Linked DNA regions of Sus scrofa. The protein of the gene in region 1 interacts with the protein of each later gene in a pairwise test. Links are inferred from orthologs where the notes say so. Each region holds a gene or a part of one and is shown in the gene's direction. Other genes may lie near its edges.

Region 1 (4,164 bases):
GTTCAGTATGTGAGAAGGGGCTAAGGATTTGGTGTGGCTGGAATTCCTGAGAGTAACATCTAGTTCATGGCAGCTCTCTAGGCACATCTTGTGAAAGTGGGTCTTTGTGTGGTAGCAACAAGTGCTGTGGCCAGAAGGTTGGTGGGCTGCCTGTTGATGGTGACCCACACTTCGCAGTCTACCGGGCTCCTCTCACGACGTCTCACCTTCCCGACAGCCCTGGGAAGGAAGAGCTGTCAGGAGCTTACTGTACAGATGAGGGAACAGGCCCACAACTTACTCAGGGCACAGATCAGCCAGGGAGCAGTGGCTGGGCATCCAGCTCCAAGTCCAATGCTTTGTCTGCTCCACCAAGCAACTGTCACCCCAAAAGGGATGTGCCCAAAGCCAGCAGAAGGGAAATGGGAGATCTCACTGGGGCTGAGCAGCTCAGAAATGGCTGGTTTCAGTTTCATGCCAGCTGGCCCTGCCTCCCTGTCCTGAGAGGAGGTTAAAGACGCTCTGAGGAGGCAAGGTCAGGCCAGGGGAGAGGCAGGAGCTCCCCAAAAAACAACCCGCACCTGGCTGTCAATGGACCAGGCCCTGTGAAAGTGTTAGGGGTGTGTGTGTGCAACAATGACAAAAGGCAGAACCCCGCCCCTGGCGGGAGAGGGCCCTGAAACTGATGATTGGGAAATGTGGCCGCCGGAGGCGAGGGACCAGGGACACTGCTGAGGGCTGATCCCAGGCCCTTTCTCTGCATCAAATCCTCGCCTCCCAGCCTCCCACCGCCAGGCACACCTTGACCTTCCCAGCTCTGCTCCCTCCCTCCTCTGAGCGCCTGTAGCAATTCCTGCCCAAACCAGTCATTTAGCACTTGGCTTATTAAGTCCATTGACTTTCCATTATATAGCTATGGCCACCTCTCCAGCTGGATCGGAATCTCCTCCAAGGCAGGAGCTCTCGTCCTCCTTGCCCCGTGACATTCTAAGCGAAGAAAGGTTATTTGGGCAGTGTCATTTCAGGTAATGCAGTGGTATGTTTATGACAAAAGCTAGCCAGTGGGTCCAAGCCGTGGGCGGACCCGGTGACAGCATCGGGCTTGTGACGTCACCGTCGCTGGCGGCTGCGGCGCTCCGCAGCCTGCGGGCAGGGTGACGTCACCGTCGGAACCCGTTCAGACAAGTGCGCGCGGGAGGAATTAGCGAGGCTGGCGGCGGGAGACGCCGGGGAGAAAGGAGGGAGCCACCGAGCGTCAGAAGCCTGCCGGGGGCCGCAGAGCGGGGGCGCGGCGCCCAGCCCCTTATGGACTGGCTCCGCCTCACAGTGACGAACACGCTCTAGCCAATCCTAGCCGGCCGCGGTGACGCGTAGCCTATCAGCGGCCAGGGCCTGCCGGGTGCTTCCGCGTTCGCGAGCGCTCTCCGCCCGAGCCCGCAGGGGGAGGGGTTGGGGGCGACGAGTCCCTTGGTCACCCACGTCCACCCTACCCTTCTCGGCGGGTCTTCGGGGCCCTCCCCATCGCCTTTTAGGGGACCCGATGGCCTCGGAAGGCCTTGCGGGGGCGCTGGCGGCCGTTCTGGGGGGCCGGGGTCTGCGGGTACAGAGCTGCGATTCGAAACCGGCCGGGGAGCCGCTGGCGCCCGTGCGGCTGCGGAAGAATGTCTGCTACGTGGTGCTGGCCGTGTTCCTCAACGAGCAGGTGAGCGTCCGCCGGTCGGGCCCACCGCCCGGACCTCCGGAGCGCGCAGCCAGCCCCGGTGGGGACCGAGGACCTACCGGCAGCAGCCACCGCTTCCTGGTGTGTGGCTCTTCCCAGTTTTGCAAAGCACTCTTACACTTATATCTGAGCCTGGTGCGGCCGAGCCCTGCAATTGTCACGAAGTACAGAGGAGGAAACTGAGGCCCAGGAGCCGTCTGTCTCATCCCACTAGGCCTCAGTTTCTTGAGGAGAGGGCTGTCTCTTCCTCCTCTTTTCCCCAGAATCTAGCAAAGTGCCCGCCGCGACGTGGTTTTTTTTTTAAAAGATCTGTCCAGTTCTTCAGAGATTCCCCCCTTGGGTCCCATGGGCAGTAACTGCACAACCTGCGCTTACACTCTGACCTTCTGACTTCCTGTGTGATGCTCATTTTGGTGTAGATCCCTGCATAAGTGGCTTGTAAAAAGAGCTAGAAGGCGTCAGGGCCATAGGTAGGAGTTCAATGGGGCCATGGTTTGGGGTGTGTTTCAAAGCTGACAGCCCAGTGTGAAGACTGGCCACAAGCAGTTTATAAACCACGAGGGAGGTGGGAGAGATCATTGACTGGTGCAGACAGAAATCATGGCGGGGCACATGGTAACAACCCTCGCTGTGAGGCCTGTTCTCTGGCCCCTGAAGCAGCTCACAGGAATCTCAGCCCCCTTCTGAAATGGAAACTTGAATACAAAGTGGGATGAATTGCAGAGACAGCTGCAATCTACCAACACACAAGGGCCAGGCCCCTGGGGAGCTCAGCAATTTCAGGGTGTCCACTAGCAGCTGTACCTGAGCTTTGATCTCGGCAAGTGAAGGTTGCTGGCTGTCCCACTCCCCTGGAGCTCCCAGCCCAGCTGTGGTGGCTAAGAATCCTCTCTCTCCCCTCAGGATGAGGTGCTACTCGTCCAGGAAGCCAAGAAAGAGTGCCGTGGGTCGTGGTACCTACCCGCGGGGAGGATGGAGCCTGGGGAGACCATCGTGGAGGCGCTGCAGCGGGAGGTGAAGGAGGAGGCTGGGCTGCACTGTGAGCCTCTGACACTGCTGTCCTTGGAGGAGCGGGGCCCCTCCTGGATCCGCTTCGTGTTCCTTGCTCGCCCTACAGGTATGGCCCAGTGGGTGGCAGTGTGGGCAGGGGCAGTTGACACCATTTCCCCAGCTTGTTCTCAGGTGAGCTGAACCCCTGTTCTGGCTGGTTCAAGCCTGGCATCGCCAGATTCCAGTTTGAGACTTGACTCAGGGCCTCCTGTGCACCTGCTGGGTCAGAGCTCGATTCCTGGGTGGGCCTTTATTCTGCCAGGTCCAGCACTTCCCTCAACAGACTTTTTCCACGTCCTTTTCCCCCACATCTATCCCAGGTGGAATTCTTAAGACTTCCAAGGAAGCAGATGCAGAGTCCTTGCAGGCTGGCTGGTACCCACGAACCTCTCTGCCCACTCCACTTCGAGCCCATGACATTCTGCACTTGGTAGAGCTAGCCGTGCAGTATCGCCAGCAAGCCAGGCACCCTCTCATTCTGCCCCAAGAGCTTCCCTGCAGTTTGATCTGCCAGCGGCTTGTGGCCACCTTTACCAGTGTCCAGACAGTGTGGGTGCTGGTTGGCACTGTGGGGATGCCTCACTTGCCCATCACCGCCTGTGGCTTTGCTCCCATGGACCAGAGGGGTGGCATCAAGATGGCTGTCCTGAGGCTGCTACAGGAGTGCCTGACCCTGCACCATTTGGCAGTGGAGACCAAGGGGTTGCTTGGACTGCAGCACCTGGGCAGAGACCAAACGGATGGCATCTGCTTAAACGTGCTGGTGACGGTGGCTTTCCGGAATCCAGGTATCCAAAATGAGCCCCCAAAGGTTCGGGGTGAGAACTTCTTTTGGTGGAAGGTGGAGGAAGACCTACAAAGCCAGCTCTTACAGAGGCTTCAGGAATCATCTGTGGTCCCAATCAATAGATAGGAGGCTGCTGTCTGTGGGCCAGGACATGGGCATCTCTGCTTTAGAGGAGGCTTTGCCTCCTCTAAGGGGGACAGGGTTGGCAGTCAGGGATCTTGTCACATCAGAACCAGGACAGTTCTCCTGGCTCCGAGGGAGACTTCTGTCTCTCATCACCATGGACCAGGTTTCTGCATTGCACCAAAAGAGACAGTGCCTTCAATCAAGCAGAGCTCATAGACCCAGTTGCCCAAGGGGACAATGATGGCATGACTCCCTAAGGGGATGTGAGGACTTTCTGAACCAGGGGTGGCATCGCCTCATCATTTTCCAGGCCTGCCTCAGTGAAGGCTTCATCCGGATCCTTGGGCACTTGGAACAGGGAGGGGGCACTGAGGAAGGTCATTCCAAGGGAGTGGGTCCCTGGCTGAGTAAAGAGGTGTTGCTCACTTTGCCTTCTCACCTCATTGTCTCTGCGGGGAGGGAATGAGCAGGAAGGTGGTGGTGGGGCATTCCCACTGTGGCT
Region 2 (3,511 bases), on another chromosome or scaffold:
GGTTTGTTTGCTTTTGCACCAGCCAATACTATAGAACTTTGTAGTGGTTTACCTTCTCACCTAGAATGTAAGGCTCTTCTTCTCTCAGTCAAAATTGTAGATTTGGCTCTAAATGCCTGAGAAACTAGGAATAGATGGAAAGCGAGAAGCAGTTCTCTAGTGAATAGAGAGTTTAAGTGCTTGACATTTGGCGTTTGGGAGGGGGCCAGCTTGCAGATAAAGTGAAAACGTGCTCTATTCTGGATCCACTGCCGTGTGACTTTGTTGTAACCCAGTTTAGTTATAAATAAAGCCTTTTGAGAGTCTCCCTACAGATACATAATTATAGCTTCTCTCATTGTCCGCTTTTACACCAGCGGGGACTGAAAGCTTACAGTGCAGCCAACACTCATCATCTCAGGTGTGTGGATTCCTGGAAACCACCTCAGGCGCATGTGCATTCGGTACATTTGCCCATGCGTCTCTAATAAGTGTGTTGGCTCTTTCTTTTTCCTAGAGACCAACTTAAGGCACACCTGTAAACGGATAATGGACATGGTGAGCAACCAGCACCCCTGGTTTGGAATGGAGCAGGAATATACTCTCATGGGCACAGATGGACACCCCTTTGGTTGGCCTTCCAATGGCTTCCCTGGGCCCCAAGGTGAGTCCTCCCGGTGAGAGAGGAATCTTGCTTTTTCCCCAAGTGTTAGTTGGCAAAGAAAAAAGTATCTCTCCAGAGATTGGAATGAATCCTCGTGGATTAAAAAGGTAGAGGAGTAGTATCCCAGAGACTGGTTGAAATAATACTGTAGAGCCCTTGTGTCACCCAGATCCAGGCATGGACATTTAGACATTAACACTGAGGGGAACCCTTTGGCTTTATGAGAGGAGCCCCCTGCACCCACTCCTCTACGTCCAGGGACAGTTAGGGATGGGATTCTAGAGAGCAAGTGGTTGAGAGCTTTCTGACATCTGACTTGGGCCGGTCATCTTACCTAGCTAGGGATTTTCTCCATGTCTTGCCTCTTGACATTCATTCCACCTTGATGCCTCTGCAGGTCCGTACTATTGTGGTGTTGGAGCAGACAAAGCCTATGGCAGGGACATTGTGGAGGCTCACTACCGGGCCTGCTTGTATGCCGGCATCAAGATTGGGGGCACCAATGCCGAGGTCATGCCCGCCCAGGTAAATGGCTCTAGCCCATCACCTTCCCCGCCTGTAGGCAAATGAGGGTTTTGCTAGCAAGGGCTGCTGTGATGCACCAGTCCTTAACCCAGCACTCTCGAGGTGCTGTGGAATAGAAGTGAAATGGGAGCAGGTGGGTTGGGGCGAGCAGTTGGTTTTGCTTTAAAGGCCAATCTTCTTCTCGTTCTCTCTAGTGGGAATTCCAGATCGGACCCTGTGAAGGAATCGACATGGGAGATCACCTCTGGGTGGCCCGATTCATCTTGCATCGTGTGTGCGAAGACTTCGGAGTGATCGCCACCTTTGATCCTAAGCCCATTCCTGGGAACTGGAATGGTGCCGGCTGCCACACCAACTTTAGCACCAAGGCCATGCGAGAGGAGAATGGTCTGAAGTGAGTGTGGGCTCCTGCTGGAGCCATTTCACTCTCTTTGCAAAAATACTTGCCAAGGAGTTCCTGTCCTGGCGCAGTGGAAGCGAATCCTACTAGGAACCATGAGGTTGCGGGTTCGATCCCTGGCCTCACTCAGTGGGTTAAGGATCCGGCGTTGCTGTGAGCTGTGGTATAGGTTGCAGACAAGGCTCGGATCTGGTGTTGCTGTGGTGTAGGCCAGCAGCTGTAGCTCTGATTGGACCCCTAGCCTAGGAACCTCCATATGCTGCGGGTGCAGCCCTAAAAAGTTAAAAAAAAAAAAAAAAAATGCTTGCCAAGAATTTGATGTATTGGGGATGAGTAAGCTGGCCTCCTCAGTTCATGCCTTAGCTCTTAGCATTCAGCTTCAAAAATTGTCCTCTGATCCTGATGTTTGGTTTCTATTTGAAAAGTACCCCCAAAATACTATTAGGAGCAGGATTCGAGGATGGTGATCGGGGAAAGTTGACATAGATTAATGCGTTTGGAAATCTACAGAACTAAAGTAGCAGCAACACAAGCTTATGAATCAACTTCAGGCCCGTGAGTGGGAGAAAGTCTTGGATGGGGGTCTTTTCATTCAACACAGGAGAAGACCAGCGCTCTTAAGCACAAAGACACAAGGGTTACAAAGCATAGTACTGCCCCTGGGGAGGAGCTGTTCCCTGGGGCCATGCTTGGGAAAATTGATCCCTGGAAAACAATCTTTTGTAGATGAGTCACTCCATCCTTGGATCCATACCTGCTTCTCTGCCTTTGAAGGGCGGGTCTCCTGGTGGCAGGTCGGACTCTCATCTTAACTCTTTCCTCCAGGTACATCGAGGAGGCCATCGAGAAGCTAAGCAAGCGGCACCAGTACCACATCCGAGCCTACGATCCCAAGGGGGGCCTGGACAACGCCCGGCGCCTAACTGGATTCCATGAAACCTCCAACATCAACGACTTTTCTGCCGGCGTGGCCAACCGTGGCGCTAGCATCCGCATTCCCCGGACTGTCGGCCAGGAGAAGAAGGGTTACTTCGAAGACCGTCGCCCTTCTGCCAACTGTGACCCCTTTGCGGTGACAGAAGCTCTCATCCGCACGTGTCTCCTCAACGAAACTGGCGACGAGCCCTTCCAGTACAAAAACTAAGTGGACTAGACGGGCAGCCATCAAAACCCCTCCTAATTCTACACCGCCCCCCCCCTCGCCCCTCTCAACTGTCGTAATAGCTGTAACTCAAAGGGCGGAATAGCAAGGTCTTTTTTATTCCTCATGCCCAGTTAATATCTCTTGCTTTCTTTGGCCAGGATAGAGGGCTCAAGTTCCTAATCTCTTCACACACACCCCCCGCCCCTTTTTTTCCCTATCACTGAAGTTTCTAGTGTGTTAGTGGGGAGGGAGGTGGGGAGTCATAACCACTGCTTCCATTTCATCAGGTGTGTTTGTCCAGTAGGCACAGCTATCCGGACAGAGAACATAGTCTTTGTGCAGGGAAGGGGCAGACTTTCTCTGAGTGGTAGTTGAGTCAGGGGTCAGAGGACCTGACTTTGGTTCGGTTAGAAGTCTCCTTCTTGGTTGGTGGGCCTTCCATTCCTTAGAAGGTTAGAACCAACTTTCTCTTAAGGGTGAGCATTAGGAGAGAAGGAAGGGTGGGAAATGAGGTAGGAAAATGCCCTCGATCTGGTGTGGTATTTCCCTTGCCTGGGGCTAAAGGCCCTGATTATGTTCGGCGTAAATGGATGGCTAGCCCTACCTTAAAAGAAAAAGTTCTTACTGTCTGGTCCATTTATAACACAAAGAAGAGTAGTATTTTTATATTTAAATGTAAAAACAAAAAAATTATATATATGGGTGTGCAGATAATGGTTTTTTTTTTTTTTTTTTTTTTTTTTTTTTTTTTTTCCTAAGAGAGAAAACCATTCTGGTCACTGGGAGCCAAATTTGAGAC
Region 3 (3,511 bases), on another chromosome or scaffold:
GGCCTACGCCACAGCCACAGCAACACAGGATCCTTAACCCACTGAGCGAGGCCAGGGATGGAACCCACAACCTCCTGGTTCCTAGTCAGATTTGTTTCCACTGCACCACGACGGTAACTCCGAGAGATTCATTCCTTTGGATGTTACCCATGATATAGAATATGTAAAAATCCAGCGGTTATAAAATTAATTATAAGCCTTCTGAAAACTTGAGCATCATAGGATGTAATTAATTCCTTTTCTTTGTATTCTCAGGGTTATGGTACTCCTACTAGAGAGTTATTTCTGTACCCCGCGCCCCGTGGAATGACGGCGTTTCCGCACCTTCTAGGGGTCCAGCCTCCCCTGCCCAGCTCAGTGTGCTGTCTAGACAGGCCTTCCTTGCTGGCCGTCCAGCTTCTTCCAGCCTGTGCAGCGCCTGGCGAGGGGTCTTCAGGTTTTGTTTGGCCAGAGTGTTGGCATCCCTTTCTATAATTGTTATTATTGTCGTTAACTTGGGGGTTATTTTCGGCCCTCTGCTTGCTACCGCCCCTTGGTCTCTAGTAATGGTGCGTGTTCCGTGGGGCTCCTCTCAAGCGCTGACCTCTCTGAGCCGCGCAGTTTCGGACCAAAAGAGACACAAGTGAGAAGAGAGGGTCACTTCAGGGCAGGCAGAGGTCGCGCCCTGGGGAAGAGGAGCCCCTGCCTGCGGGAATAAGGAGTGGAGGCAAAGGGTTGTCCTCCAGGAGGTGAATTTTGAGCAAAGAGTTGAATGAATCACAGATTTTAGTGGCCGGGTGTCTCGGTGTGGATACATGCTTTCTTTTCTGTTGGGTAAACATCTGAGATGGAAACACACGGAGGATGAACCTGGGTTTAACGTTTTAAGAAAACACTGCCAAACTATTTTCCAAACTGGTTATACCATTTTCATTTCCACCAGTGGTGCATGAGGGTTCCAATGCCTTCCTGGCCTGGGGACACTTGGTGTGGTCAGTTTTCTAACCTTTTTGGTATTCTCCATGCATGGGAGCCGTATCTCATTGTGGTTTTAATTCACTTCTGATGACTAAAGACGCCGGGCATCTTTTCATGTGCTTGTTCGCAGTCAGTATATCTTTGGGGAAGTTGCCCAAAGTTGGGATCTTTTGCCCAGTGGTTTTTTTTGGGGGGAGGGCAGGGTGTGCCTGTGGTCACCAGCAAATTCCTGGGTTTTTTCCACTGCTGCATCACCAGAGAGTTTCTGGAGTTCTTCTAGAAGTATTTGGAAAGAAGATTTTGTCTCCCTGTGGAATCCCCTCTGTTGAAAATCCATTTGTTTGTTGACTGTCTTTTTGGTCCCTTGAGCTCTGTGTTCTAACCCATCCCACATTATCAGGTCCTTAAGCTGCAGAGCCACCAGAGAACTCCTAGAATTACCTCGGGAGCTTTTAAAGCTGCTGATGCCCTTGGTCTGGCTCAGGTGCGGGAGACTCCTTAGTGGATTGTGAAGTGCCAGGTGGCTGAGAGCTCAGGGGACTTGCTACCTTTGACCTTATCCTAGAGGCCCCAGGCTGTTCTGTGGCTCCAGCACGTTCCTTCTGCCTCCTTGCGGGAACCCCACGTTGTCCCTTCCAGGGCTGGCATCTGTGTCGTGTGCATTGTGGGCTCTTCTGGGCTTGTCTTTGTGCTTGTTCACGACTGGAGTGAGCTCAGGCCCGGCTGGGCCTTCCAGGAGGAGGGTCTGGGCCCCCGTGAGGTCCTCCGTGGTTTGTGGCACTGCCACGCCTCTCTTGGGAACTGGCAGCTTTCTGAGAAAATGACCACCTTTTGGTCCAGGATTTTCGGTGAGTGTAGTTCTTTCCATCCCTCAGTCTAAACTGGTTGATGTCCTTTATCTCCAAGCTCTGCTGCTTTTCTCCTTGTCCTTGTAATGCTTTCTGCCTGTGTTTTGTCCCCTTTTCTGCCTTCCTTAGGTTTGTTTTATTCATCTTCTGGCTTTGTTGACTTTAGCTCATTGCTCTTAATTCTCGAGGATCCCAGCACAGCTTGATGGTGGGGGGTGGTCCTGGGCTTGGGGTCCCAGCTCGTCTGGTCCGAGTGCTGTCTCGTCGGTTGGGTGCCAGTTTTGAGCTCGGGTCGGCTGGGACAGAGTTCAGACGCTCCCAGGTGCCCTTGGTTCCTCAGAACTGTTCTGTTTCGGCTTCTGTCGTTTCCTGCTTTGCCGTGTTCTAGTTGGAAGATGAGAGTCTCCACTAACTTTCGGAAGTTGAAGTTTTCTTTGATGACCAAATAGATCGCTTTAAAAGTGTAAGCTCAGGAGTTCTCAGGTGGTGCAGCAGGTTAAGATCTGGCATTGTCGCTGCAGAGGCTTTGGTCCCTGGCCCAGGTTCTTCCAGGTGCCACGAGTGCATCAAAAAATACATACAATAGGAGTTCCCGTCGTGGCGCAGTGGTTAACGAATCCGACTAGGAACCATGAGGTTGCGGGTTCGGTCCCTGCCCTTGCTCAGTGGGTTAACGATCCGGCGTTGCCGTGAGCTGTGGTGTAGGTTGCAGACGCGGCTCGGATCCCGCATTGCTGTGGCTCTGGCGTAGGCCGGTGGCTACAGCTCCGATTCAACCCCTAGCCTGGGAACCTCCATATGCCGGGGGAGCGGCCCAAGAAATAGCAACAACAACAACAAAAAAAAAAAGACAAAAAAAAAAAAATACATACAATAGGGGTTCCCATCGTGGCTCAGCAGGAAACCTGACTAGAATCCGTGAGGACGCAGGTTGGACCCCTGGCCCTGCTCAGTGGGTTGAGGATCCAGCGTTGCCCTGAGCTGCGGCGTAGGTCACAGACGCGGCTCGGATCCCTTGTCGCTGTGGCTGTGGCACAGGCCAACAGCTGTACCTCCAATTCGACCCCTGGCCTGGGAACCTCCATATGCCGTGGGTGTGGCCCTAAAAAGACAAAAAATAAATGAACGAGTGAAATAAATGACATAAAACTGCAGCCTCTGTTTGCAGGACTTGGCCTCCTTGGTCTTGTCAGTGATAATCACCCACGTGTTCTGGCTGAGAGGCGTTTACAACTGCGCCGCAAGTGGGATTTGCCTCTCGTCAAAGGGCCACGCATCCCCTGGTGTGTGGCTGCGTTCTCACTTGGTAATTTTTTCTTACTCGTGGACTTAGCTCTTCCAGATTAATTAAAAAACAGAGGTAGATTTCTGAGCTGGAAGTATCTTTGTGTTGGAAGCAGCCCGGGTGAAGTCCTTTGATAACTGGATTTCCGTGCTTTTCCCCCTGCTAGGTACGTGTGTGTTCGCTGTTTTTACGTAGGTCTTTCCTTTATTTTATGACACCAAGGCGTCCGGCGTTTCCAGGCCCACCTGCTCCTCGGGCAACAGCTGTGGAAATGGAGCAGGAAAAAGTCAATGGGAGTAAGGAGCTGAGCGCAGACGCCGCCTCCTACCGCTGCTCCGCCTGCCATGGGGACGAGGACTGGGCGCTCGGCCACCCCATCCGGGGGCGGGCCAAGTCCCGCAGCCTGTCAGCCTCCCCCGCC
Region 4 (4,153 bases), on another chromosome or scaffold:
CGTTACAGACATATTTGAGAAGGCTGAACTCTAGAAATAATCATAACATTCATGACAATGTAGTGGCAAAAACAACATCACCATTTATTGAGTGGTTATAAAATAGCAAGACTCTTTCAAGCACTTCACATGGATCATTCAACCCAACCTTAACCCATGAGTGTGGAACCAGGATGATCTTCACTGTCCAATGAAGACAGGGAGTTGATGAAATCAACACAGGCTGGATTTTGACCTCTGACCCAAGAAATCCAGTTCTTTTAGTTGTAACTACTCCGTCTTTTAAAAATTCTCAGAGTTCCCATCATGGCTCAGTGGTAACAAACCCAACAAGTATCCATGGGGACGCGTATTTGATCCTTGGCCTTGCTCAGTGGGTTAAGTGTCTGGCGTTGCTGTGAGCTGTGGTGTAGGTCACAGATGTGCCTCGGATCCCGCCTTGCTGTGGCTGTGGTGTGGGCCAGCAGCTGCAGCTCTGATTCGACCCCTAGCCTGGGAACCTCCACATGCCACGGGTGTGGCCCTAAAATGACAATAAATAAATAAATAAAAATTAAAAATTAAAATCCCTCATTCCCCTCAATAAAACTGGAATAAAAAAAGATTAAAAAAAAAAAAAAACAACTCACCCCTTTACTTTCCCCTACTTCCCTTTACCCTCTCCATAGCAGGGGCATCCTTGAGGTCCTAATCCTAACCCATCCATCCTTAGGAGCCCAGAGTTGTGGGGGAGCTTTGCTCCCCATCTTAGATAACCCCCTTCAGCAACCATGGCCCCCTCACTAGCCTTTGAAGAAGGATGGAATGGATTCCTACAAATATTCTACAGTCTCACTATTCAAATGTGGTCCATGAGTTCCCTGGTGGCTCAGGATCCCCCACTGTCACTGCTGTGCTAGGGTTGCTGCTGTGGCTAGGGTTCGATCCTTAGCCAGAAAACGTAGCATGTCCCCACCCACCCCACTCCCTGCCTGCCACAAAAAAAAAAAAAGAGCCAGTGAATGGGTCTCACCCCAGATCTGATAAATCAGAACATCTGAGTGTTTAATCACGGTTTTTTTTAATATCCTTAGAGTCAGAATGACAGCCCTACACAGTCCCCACTGTACAGAGACTGCTCGGGGTAGTACACGACGTCTTCTGCCTTTACACTCCCCCGACACCCTGACTCCTGACAGCTCACTTTCTCTGACCTCGCACGTCCTACCTTTGAAACTACAACTCCCACAATGCCCCCGAGGCACCCACGTCGCTTTACGCGACTACATCTCCCAAGGTGCTCCTCGAGCCATGCAGCCACCAGGGCGCCTACTCTCCCCGACATCGTCAGGACTACAACTCCCATAATACTCCGTGACAAACCTACCGCCCCCAGCGGCGCCGGAACGGCGCCACGTCCCCTCCGGCCACTTCGAGTGAGGCCGGTTTCGGGCGGGGCCCGTGGGGTGTGGAGGGCCCCAGCCTCGTTACAGCGGTTCTTCCCCTCACAACACAGACATGGCGGCCGAGAAGGACCAGCAGAAGGATGCCGAGGCGGAAGGGCTGAGCGCCACGTAAGCAAGTCTAATCTAGCCCCCCTGACCTAGACCCGAGAGTCATGGCTTCTCGCCCCTCATCCCTGGGGAGTTAGGAATCCGGACTCCTGGCCCCGGCTCAATCCCTTCCTCCCCTGGAATCCAGGAGTCCTGGACCATATCTCCCCCGCCCCCCAGAACCCCGGAGTCCCGCTCCCCTCGGCCCCCTTCTTGCTCGGGGGTCCGGGCTCCAACCCGGTCTACCGCTGACCTGGTCCCGCACCCCCCAGGACCCTGCTGCCGAAACTGATTCCCTCTGGCGCGGGCCGTGAGTGGCTGGAGCGGCGCCGTGCTACCATCCGCCCCTGGGGCTCCTTCGTGGACCAGCGGCGTTTTTCGCGTCCCCGCAACCTGGGCGAGCTTTGCCAGCGCCTCGTACGCAACGTGGAATACTACCAAAGCAACTATGTGTTTGTGTTCCTGGGCCTCATCCTGTACTGCGTGTGAGTGTCTCTCTGGCCAGAACAGCCCCCCTCAGCCAGGCCCCGCCCCCGCCAGGCTGCCATGTCTGCACTGGCCAGGCCCTGTCCCCATGGGATAGCTCTGTGGGATCTTTACCCCAGAGGACCAGGTCCCTACTCCATCAGCCTGGCTGGGATGCAGGGGGACCAAACATGACCTAGACTTGCGTGGTCCTAAGGACGTCCCCAGGTGTAGAAGGTCAGGGCCTTCGTGTCTGACGCAGCCCCAGCGGCCTGACTGTGCCTCCCTGCCCTCCTCCAGGGTAACATCGCCCATGCTGCTGGTAGCTCTGGCTGTCTTCTTTGGCGCCTGTTACATCCTCTATCTGCGCACGTTGCAGTCCAAGTTTGTGCTGTTTGGTGAGAAATCTGCCCAAACTCCTCTGATCCTGGCTCTTTGAATCCAAGCCTTAGACCTCAAACCTGAGTCCTTTTGAACCCAAGTCTGCCCAATCCTAGACCTACAGTAGATTCCCCATACCCACACCTGATGCTCCTATCCACTCTCAGTCCCCCCAAATTGCTGTTTCCCAAACCCAGAAGATATCCAAGAACCACTCCACCTAGCCGCTGGCCTTTTAAACCTCCTCCTTCTCTCTCCCTCATCTGCCAAAAGCATCAGCTGCAAGTACCCACATTGGACGCCAGGTGGCGACTTTACTCTAGCCTAAATCTGTCCTCCCCCTTTCGTGCTTCCTGGGATGGGAGTAGAAAAATCTTGGGACTTCTCAGAGGGAAGCTGAGGCCTGTGGCTCATGTGGTCCTAGACTGGCACCAAGCACCACTGGGAAGAAAGAGGGCCTGAGTTCCCAACTAAGGGAAACTCAAGGTTTGGAGTGGAGATAAGGGGGAGTTGGAATCAAAGAAACAGGTAGACCTAAGACAGAATCCATCAGAAGCCTGCCAGTTATGTATCTGGTAAGGGTGGGCTGGGTGGAGGAGCATGTCAGGCGAGCACAGGGCACAGAGGGAGCGTCCAGAGCATAGTCACAACTTGTCTTCAGCCACTGCTGCCGCCAGGGTTTGCAAGTCTGACTTTCCAATCTGCCACAAGAAGCCAGATGTCTATACAGCCATCTCTCAGCTTTTCTAGGAGCCCCCAGATTTTGGATACCCAAATCCGAGGATGCTCAAGTTGCTGATGTAGCAATGATGTAGTACAGTGACCCACGGGTGCCCATCTGCGGATACAGAGGGCCGACTGTATTGCTGTGTGAAATCATTCTGTCTGTATGTCAGCAGCAAATCAACAAATCGTGGCTCAGCGGTTAACAAGCCTGACTAGGTTCCACGAGGATGCGGGTTCGACCCCTGGCCTCGCTCAGGGTGTTAAGGATCTGGTGTTGCCGTGAGCTGTGGTGTAGGTTGCAGACGTGTCTCGGATCTCGCGTTGTTGTGGCTGTGGATCTGATTCGACCCCTAGCCTGGAAACTTCCATGTGCTGTGGGTGCGGCCCTAAAAAGCAAAAAAATTATTGTGGAATAATATGCAAACTCAAAAAACATGTCTAGGTGTCAGCCTGGGCCTTTGGGATGCCAGTTGGAAAACCCAGGTCTATGCGAGGGCAGGTTGGAGCAGGAAAGCTGTAGTTTGGGGAGGGAGAGTCTGGGAGCTTCCTAGCAGAAGTAAAGTTGAAGGGTGGAGGGCGGTGGGGGGGATTACTGAGGAAGGTGCACTGTTTCAGGGGACAGTGGGTGGGGACGCTGGGGAAATGGCTGGGGCCGGACTTGGAGGGCCTTGGCATAAGGCATTTTGGGGGTTACTCTGGGAGAGGGGACAGGTGTGGAACAGCTGTCCCAATGCCATCTGCCCCCCCAGGCCGAGAGGTGAGCCCCGCCCATCAGTATGCCCTGGCCGGGGGCGTCTCCTTTCCCTTCTTCTGGCTGGCTGGCGCGGGATCCGCCGTCTTCTGGGTCCTAGGTGAGTGAGTACAGGGTCTCGGTGGCGCGGTGGGCAGTGGGGGCCGGGGAGGCAGCAGGCCCTGAGCTGCCCGTTTTCCCCCAGGAGCCACCCTCGTGGTCATCGGCTCCCACGCCGCCTTCCACCAGATAGAGGCTGTGGACGGGGAGGAGCTGCAGATGGAACCTGTGTGAGGTGTCTTCAAGGACATGTCGGCCT
Region 5 (4,104 bases), on another chromosome or scaffold:
TTCTCTCTTCGCTAAGCTCCTTCACTTCATCCTCAAAATGAGGACGTGAGGGCTTCCTGGGGGAGGAATTCTAATGCTCCAATTCCTTTGCAGCCTGCCCTGGGACACTCAGGAGCCAGAAATGGCTCAGAAGCTCTGGGTCCTGGAGCAGGTAAGGAATTGGAGATCCAAACTAGAAGCAAGAAAGTCAACAAAAGGGTGAGGAGTAGCATTAAGTATTAATGTCTCCTGAGTACTCTTGAGTACCAGGGTATGGATGGCAGAACATTTCAGAGACGCTTGAATTCCTGGGGAATGAGAAAGCCCTAGTTCACAGCGGTTCCACCGTTGCTGTCAAACTCTGCTCCTCTGTCGGGAAGTTTTCGGGCAATTGGACTACAGATCCCATAATGCACGCAGACTTAAAAAGAGGGTCTCGCCCTGTTCAAAATCCTTTAGAGCCATATGCTAGGGACTACAACTCCCAGAAGGACACGCTCTGCACCGTGGTCCTCACCTTACAGGCAAATTATTCAAGGCCACCCCTGCATCTTCTTTTTTCTAGTCCGAGGAACACGACCCCTTATTTACCAACATCTGAGGGTCACCGGGAGCGAGTTCTCAGCCTCTCTCAAGCCTTGGCTGCTGAGGCGTCACAGTGGCACCGAATGATGACAGGTGAGAATGGGCTGGGGACCTTGGGCTCCTGGGTGTTAGGGAAGAGGGAGTCTGGAGGCCCGGAATCCTAGGTCCTGGTGGGGAGGGGGGTCCGACGACCGCCAGAAACCCTCTGCCTTGGTAAAGAAAGAGCTGGACAGGGCTTGGGGGTTCCAGACCCCAGTAGGAGGGGACTGGATCCCAGGACTGCCGTGTCTGGGGAGGAGAGGACGGGGAGCCTGGACTCCTAGGTTTGAGAGGAAAGTCCTGGGTGTCGGGACTTCTGGGTCCCAAAGTTTGCCATTCTCGTTCTCCGTCCGTCCTCTCCAGGTGGCAGTTTGGACTCTCGAGGAGACCCTCTTCCCCCTGCGTCGCCACCTCCGTCAGATCCCACGCCCTGCGTGTCCTCGCCCCCAAGATCTCCTCCAGTGGCCAGTTCCCACTCCACGGGGTTCTCCCACCGAGGGACTGGGCGCGACGCAGGCCCGGCCTCTTGGGAGCCGACCTGGGATTCCGGGACCGCCCCTCCCGCGCTAACCCCAGACGAGGAGGCGTGGCCTCTGAGAGTCACGCTGCTACAGTCCAGCTTCTGACCCGCCCAAGCAGGGCAGCCAATCAGAGCTGGAGGGCGTGTCCCGGAGGTACTTCCGGGACAGATGGAGCCTCTTCCCTCACCTGAGGGCGTGATCTGGTCCCCTCCCGGTGGCCGAGGAGTGGCTACTTTGGCCAAAGTTTGATTTTCCCAATACTTGTCCAAATTTGGATTAAAACATTGAACTCTTAGTCGATAACTTTCTGTCTGTTTGGAGTTGTGACACCGGTGTCTCGAAGAGGTAGAGCTGGAGTGGTGAACTCCTGGGTCCCGCGGGAGGAGGGGACAGCGGACTCAGCTTTGTGTGTCAGAGGAACGGGGGGAGCTCGAGGTCTGGATTACTGAGTCTGAGGGAGGAGGGGGCCGGCGACCTGGATTCCTGGGTCTGAAGGAAGAGAGGACCCGGGACCTGGACTTTGGAGTCCAAGGTCCGGCAGAGGGGGCCGGACTCCAGGAATCCCGAGTTTGAGGGTTGGGGGACCGGCCTCCTGGGTCTGAGGGAGGAGGGGGCTGGGGCCAAGTTCCAGGCTTCTGGCTTTCCTGGCAACGCCCCCGGGGCCGGGCTTCAGGATCCAGCCCCTATTTATGGTTCGACCCCAAGACCTCACCGGACTTCAGAGGGGGATAGAAGCCTCGAGTGAGTGTGAGTGAGTGGCCGAAGGAGACCTTCTGACGCGGGATGGCAACGGGAACGCGCTATGCCGGGAAGGTGGTAATCGTGACGGGGGGCGGGCGCGGCATCGGAGCTGGGATCGTCCGAGCCTTCGGTGAGTGGGGTCTGGTCGGCTCTGAACAGTGGAGTCTGGGAGCGGAGGGACCCGGGGGCTAATGGGTGTGGGACGAAGTATCTTCTGTACTGGAATCTAGATTCTTGTCTCGTAAAATCCAATTTGCAAAGTTAACGAAGGGAAGGCAGAGGTGGCCTGGGGCCTGAGATTGCGGCGGATTTTCAAATGCCATTGACTCCCTTTCTCTGGGTCTCAGCTATTGCTACAGAATGGGGGGCCGGGGGTGGTGGTTGAAGGAATATGTCTTTTGGAGGTTTAGGGTTTACTCTAGAACCCAGGGATGGAGACTCAGGAGCCCCAGAAGTCACCTGGAATAGCCAAGGAGAAGGCTAGGCTTCTGCCTTTTGCCCTACGGGATCATCATGAGACTTTGGGGTCACGAGGGGAACAGAGCTGGGGCGGTGGTGGGGGGGGAACGGCCCTGTTCCGGGTGGCCACAGAGGGCAGCAGAGATCTTCACCAAGGTCTCTGCAGGGCTAACCTATTCCCTGTCTATTCGCAGTGGAAAGTGGCGCCCAGGTGGTGATCTGTGACAAAGACGGTGAGTGAGGGTCCCCCAGTCCTCAGCCCACTGCCTCCTCCCTTAGATTCAAGAAGAATACAGGCCCCAGCACCCTCCTCCCTCAGACCCAGGATCCAGCCCCAGCCCTCCTCCCTCAGACCCAGGATCCTGGGCCCCCAGCCCCTCCTCTCTGAGACCCAGGCTCCAGCCCCCAGCCCTTCTCTTCCTGCAGAGTCCACTGGTCGGACCCTGGAGCAGGAGCTGCCTGGGTCTGTCTTTGTCCTCTGTGACGTGACTCAAGAGGATGATGTGAAGGTGAGCGCGTAGTTTCTGTCCCTCCCCGTCCCCCTCAATCTCCAATCGTTCTCTCTCTCCCTTCACCCCGGGCTTTGCACATGCTATTCCCTCTACCCTTCCCCATCTCCTGGCTAAATGACACCTGCCCCCAGAGTCTCAGCTCAGTTTCATCGCAAAGCTTTCCTAACTCGGCTGGCCACGTCCTGTGTCTGCCGAGAAGATTCTCCTCTATCTCCCAGGCCTTCAAGGCCCCTGGTCCCTCCTGTCACATGATCTGGATCCAGTAAGAGTTCTCCTTCTCCCAGGGTTTCTCCCCTTCCCTTCATCTGCTCCCCCATCCCCCACCCTCCTGGGTCTCTGGAGTAGTGAGCTCAGGGTGTGTGTCACCAGCCCTCTGGTCTCTGGCACCCTGGCGTCCAGTCTCCTCATCTCCTGCCATGCCTGGCGATTTGGGGTCGGCCCCCACAATGTCCTGTCCCCTCCGCGGTGACTCCGCTTCTGCCACGTCTCACTTGGGGGAGCCCAGCAGGGGCGCCAATGCTGTTCACTCACAAGACAGCTTTCTCCTCAGACCCTCTTTCTGAGACCATCCGCCGCTTCGGCCGCCTGGACTGTGTGGTCAACAACGCCGGCTCCCGTGAGTTGTCAACCCGCTTCCCGGGCTCTGTCCCATTGCTGCTCTGTGTCCCCAGGCCTGTGCCGCCACCTCTTTATGCCTCAGTTTCTACATTTCTAAAATGACAATGACCACCACTGTCCTTGCCATTACAGGGTGTTGAGAGTATTAAATAGTGTAACTGGGCGGAGTTCCCGTCATGGTGCAGAGGAAATGAACCTGACTAGGAACCATGAGGTTGCGGGTTCAGTCCCTGGCCTTGCTCAGTGGGTTAAGGATCTGGCTGTGAGCTGTGGTGCAGATACGGCTCGGATCCCGTATTGCTGTGGCTGTGATGTAGGCCAGAGGCTGTAGCTCCGATTCGACCCCTAGCCTGGGAACCTCCATATGCCACGAGTGCGGCCCTAAAAAAAAAAAAAATTGTGTCACTGCTCAGCCCCCTAATCACCCTAACTGTCTTGGGCAGACAGCGTCCATCTTGCAGCCTCCGTTTTGGTTTGGTTTGGTTTGGTTTTGGCCATGGCATGCAGAAGTTCCAGGGTCAGGGATTGAATCTGCGCCACAGCAGCAATAATGCCAGGTCCTTAGTCTGCTGAGCCACCAGGGAACTCCAACCTCAGTTTCTTTAAAGTGAGGCGGATGGCTCTTTTTTTCTGTGACTGTGAACAAGTAC

Evidence for each region.
Region 2: the proteins of NUDT18 (region 1) and GLUL interact in a two-hybrid assay, tested with the Homo sapiens proteins (2 studies listed by BioGRID and IntAct). The two-hybrid records come from large-scale screens. The link is inferred for Sus scrofa from reciprocal best matches to the Homo sapiens genes NUDT18 and GLUL.
Region 3: the proteins of NUDT18 (region 1) and NADK interact in a two-hybrid assay, tested with the Homo sapiens proteins (2 studies listed by BioGRID and IntAct). The two-hybrid records come from large-scale screens. The link is inferred for Sus scrofa from reciprocal best matches to the Homo sapiens genes NUDT18 and NADK.
Region 4: the proteins of NUDT18 (region 1) and RABAC1 interact in binary tests that used the Homo sapiens proteins (3 or more experiments, as listed by UniProt). The two-hybrid records come from large-scale screens. The link is inferred for Sus scrofa from reciprocal best matches to the Homo sapiens genes NUDT18 and RABAC1.
Region 5: the proteins of NUDT18 (region 1) and HSD17B14 interact in binary tests that used the Homo sapiens proteins (3 or more experiments, as listed by UniProt). The two-hybrid records come from large-scale screens. The link is inferred for Sus scrofa from reciprocal best matches to the Homo sapiens genes NUDT18 and HSD17B14.

The regions. Positions count from the first base shown.
Region 1 is NC_010456.5:6,378,913-6,383,076, reverse strand, and holds NUDT18 (8-oxo-dGDP phosphatase NUDT18), read left to right. Parts: upstream 1-1,364; 5' UTR 1,365-1,519; coding exon 1,520-1,681; intron 1,682-2,602; coding exon 2,603-2,816; intron 2,817-3,069; coding exon 3,070-3,662; 3' UTR 3,663-4,090; downstream 4,091-4,164. UniProt on the Homo sapiens protein: Mediates the hydrolysis of oxidized nucleoside diphosphate derivatives. Hydrolyzes 8-oxo-7,8-dihydroguanine (8-oxo-Gua)-containing deoxyribo- and ribonucleoside diphosphates to the monophosphates. Hydrolyzes 8-oxo-dGDP and 8-oxo-GDP with the same efficiencies.
Region 2 is NC_010451.4:123,752,572-123,756,082, reverse strand, and holds part of GLUL (glutamine synthetase), read left to right. Parts: intron 1-496; coding exon 497-643; intron 644-1,040; coding exon 1,041-1,168; intron 1,169-1,362; coding exon 1,363-1,562; intron 1,563-2,393; coding exon 2,394-2,712; 3' UTR 2,713-3,511. UniProt on the Homo sapiens protein: Glutamine synthetase that catalyzes the ATP-dependent conversion of glutamate and ammonia to glutamine.
Region 3 is NC_010448.4:63,856,588-63,860,098, reverse strand, and holds part of NADK (NAD kinase), read left to right. Parts: intron 1-3,285; 5' UTR 3,286-3,301; coding exon 3,302-3,511.
Region 4 is NC_010448.4:49,932,091-49,936,243, forward strand, and holds the start of RABAC1 (prenylated Rab acceptor protein 1), read left to right. Parts: upstream 1-1,348; 5' UTR 1,349-1,497; coding exon 1,498-1,553; intron 1,554-1,804; coding exon 1,805-2,017; intron 2,018-2,297; coding exon 2,298-2,395; intron 2,396-3,853; coding exon 3,854-3,955; intron 3,956-4,039; coding exon 4,040-4,128; 3' UTR 4,129-4,153. UniProt on the Homo sapiens protein: General Rab protein regulator required for vesicle formation from the Golgi complex. May control vesicle docking and fusion by mediating the action of Rab GTPases to the SNARE complexes.
Region 5 is NC_010448.4:54,141,336-54,145,439, reverse strand, and holds the start of HSD17B14 (17-beta-hydroxysteroid dehydrogenase 14), read left to right. Parts: upstream 1-1,296; 5' UTR 1,297-1,469; intron 1,470-1,829; 5' UTR 1,830-1,907; coding exon 1,908-1,995; intron 1,996-2,518; coding exon 2,519-2,557; intron 2,558-2,750; coding exon 2,751-2,833; intron 2,834-3,370; coding exon 3,371-3,452; intron 3,453-4,104. UniProt on the Homo sapiens protein: Catalyzes the NAD(+)-dependent oxidation of L-fucose, yielding L-fucono-1,5-lactone, which rapidly converts spontaneously to L-fucone-1,4-lactone. Can also act on D-arabinose and L-galactose, with lower catalytic efficiency. Does not use NADPH.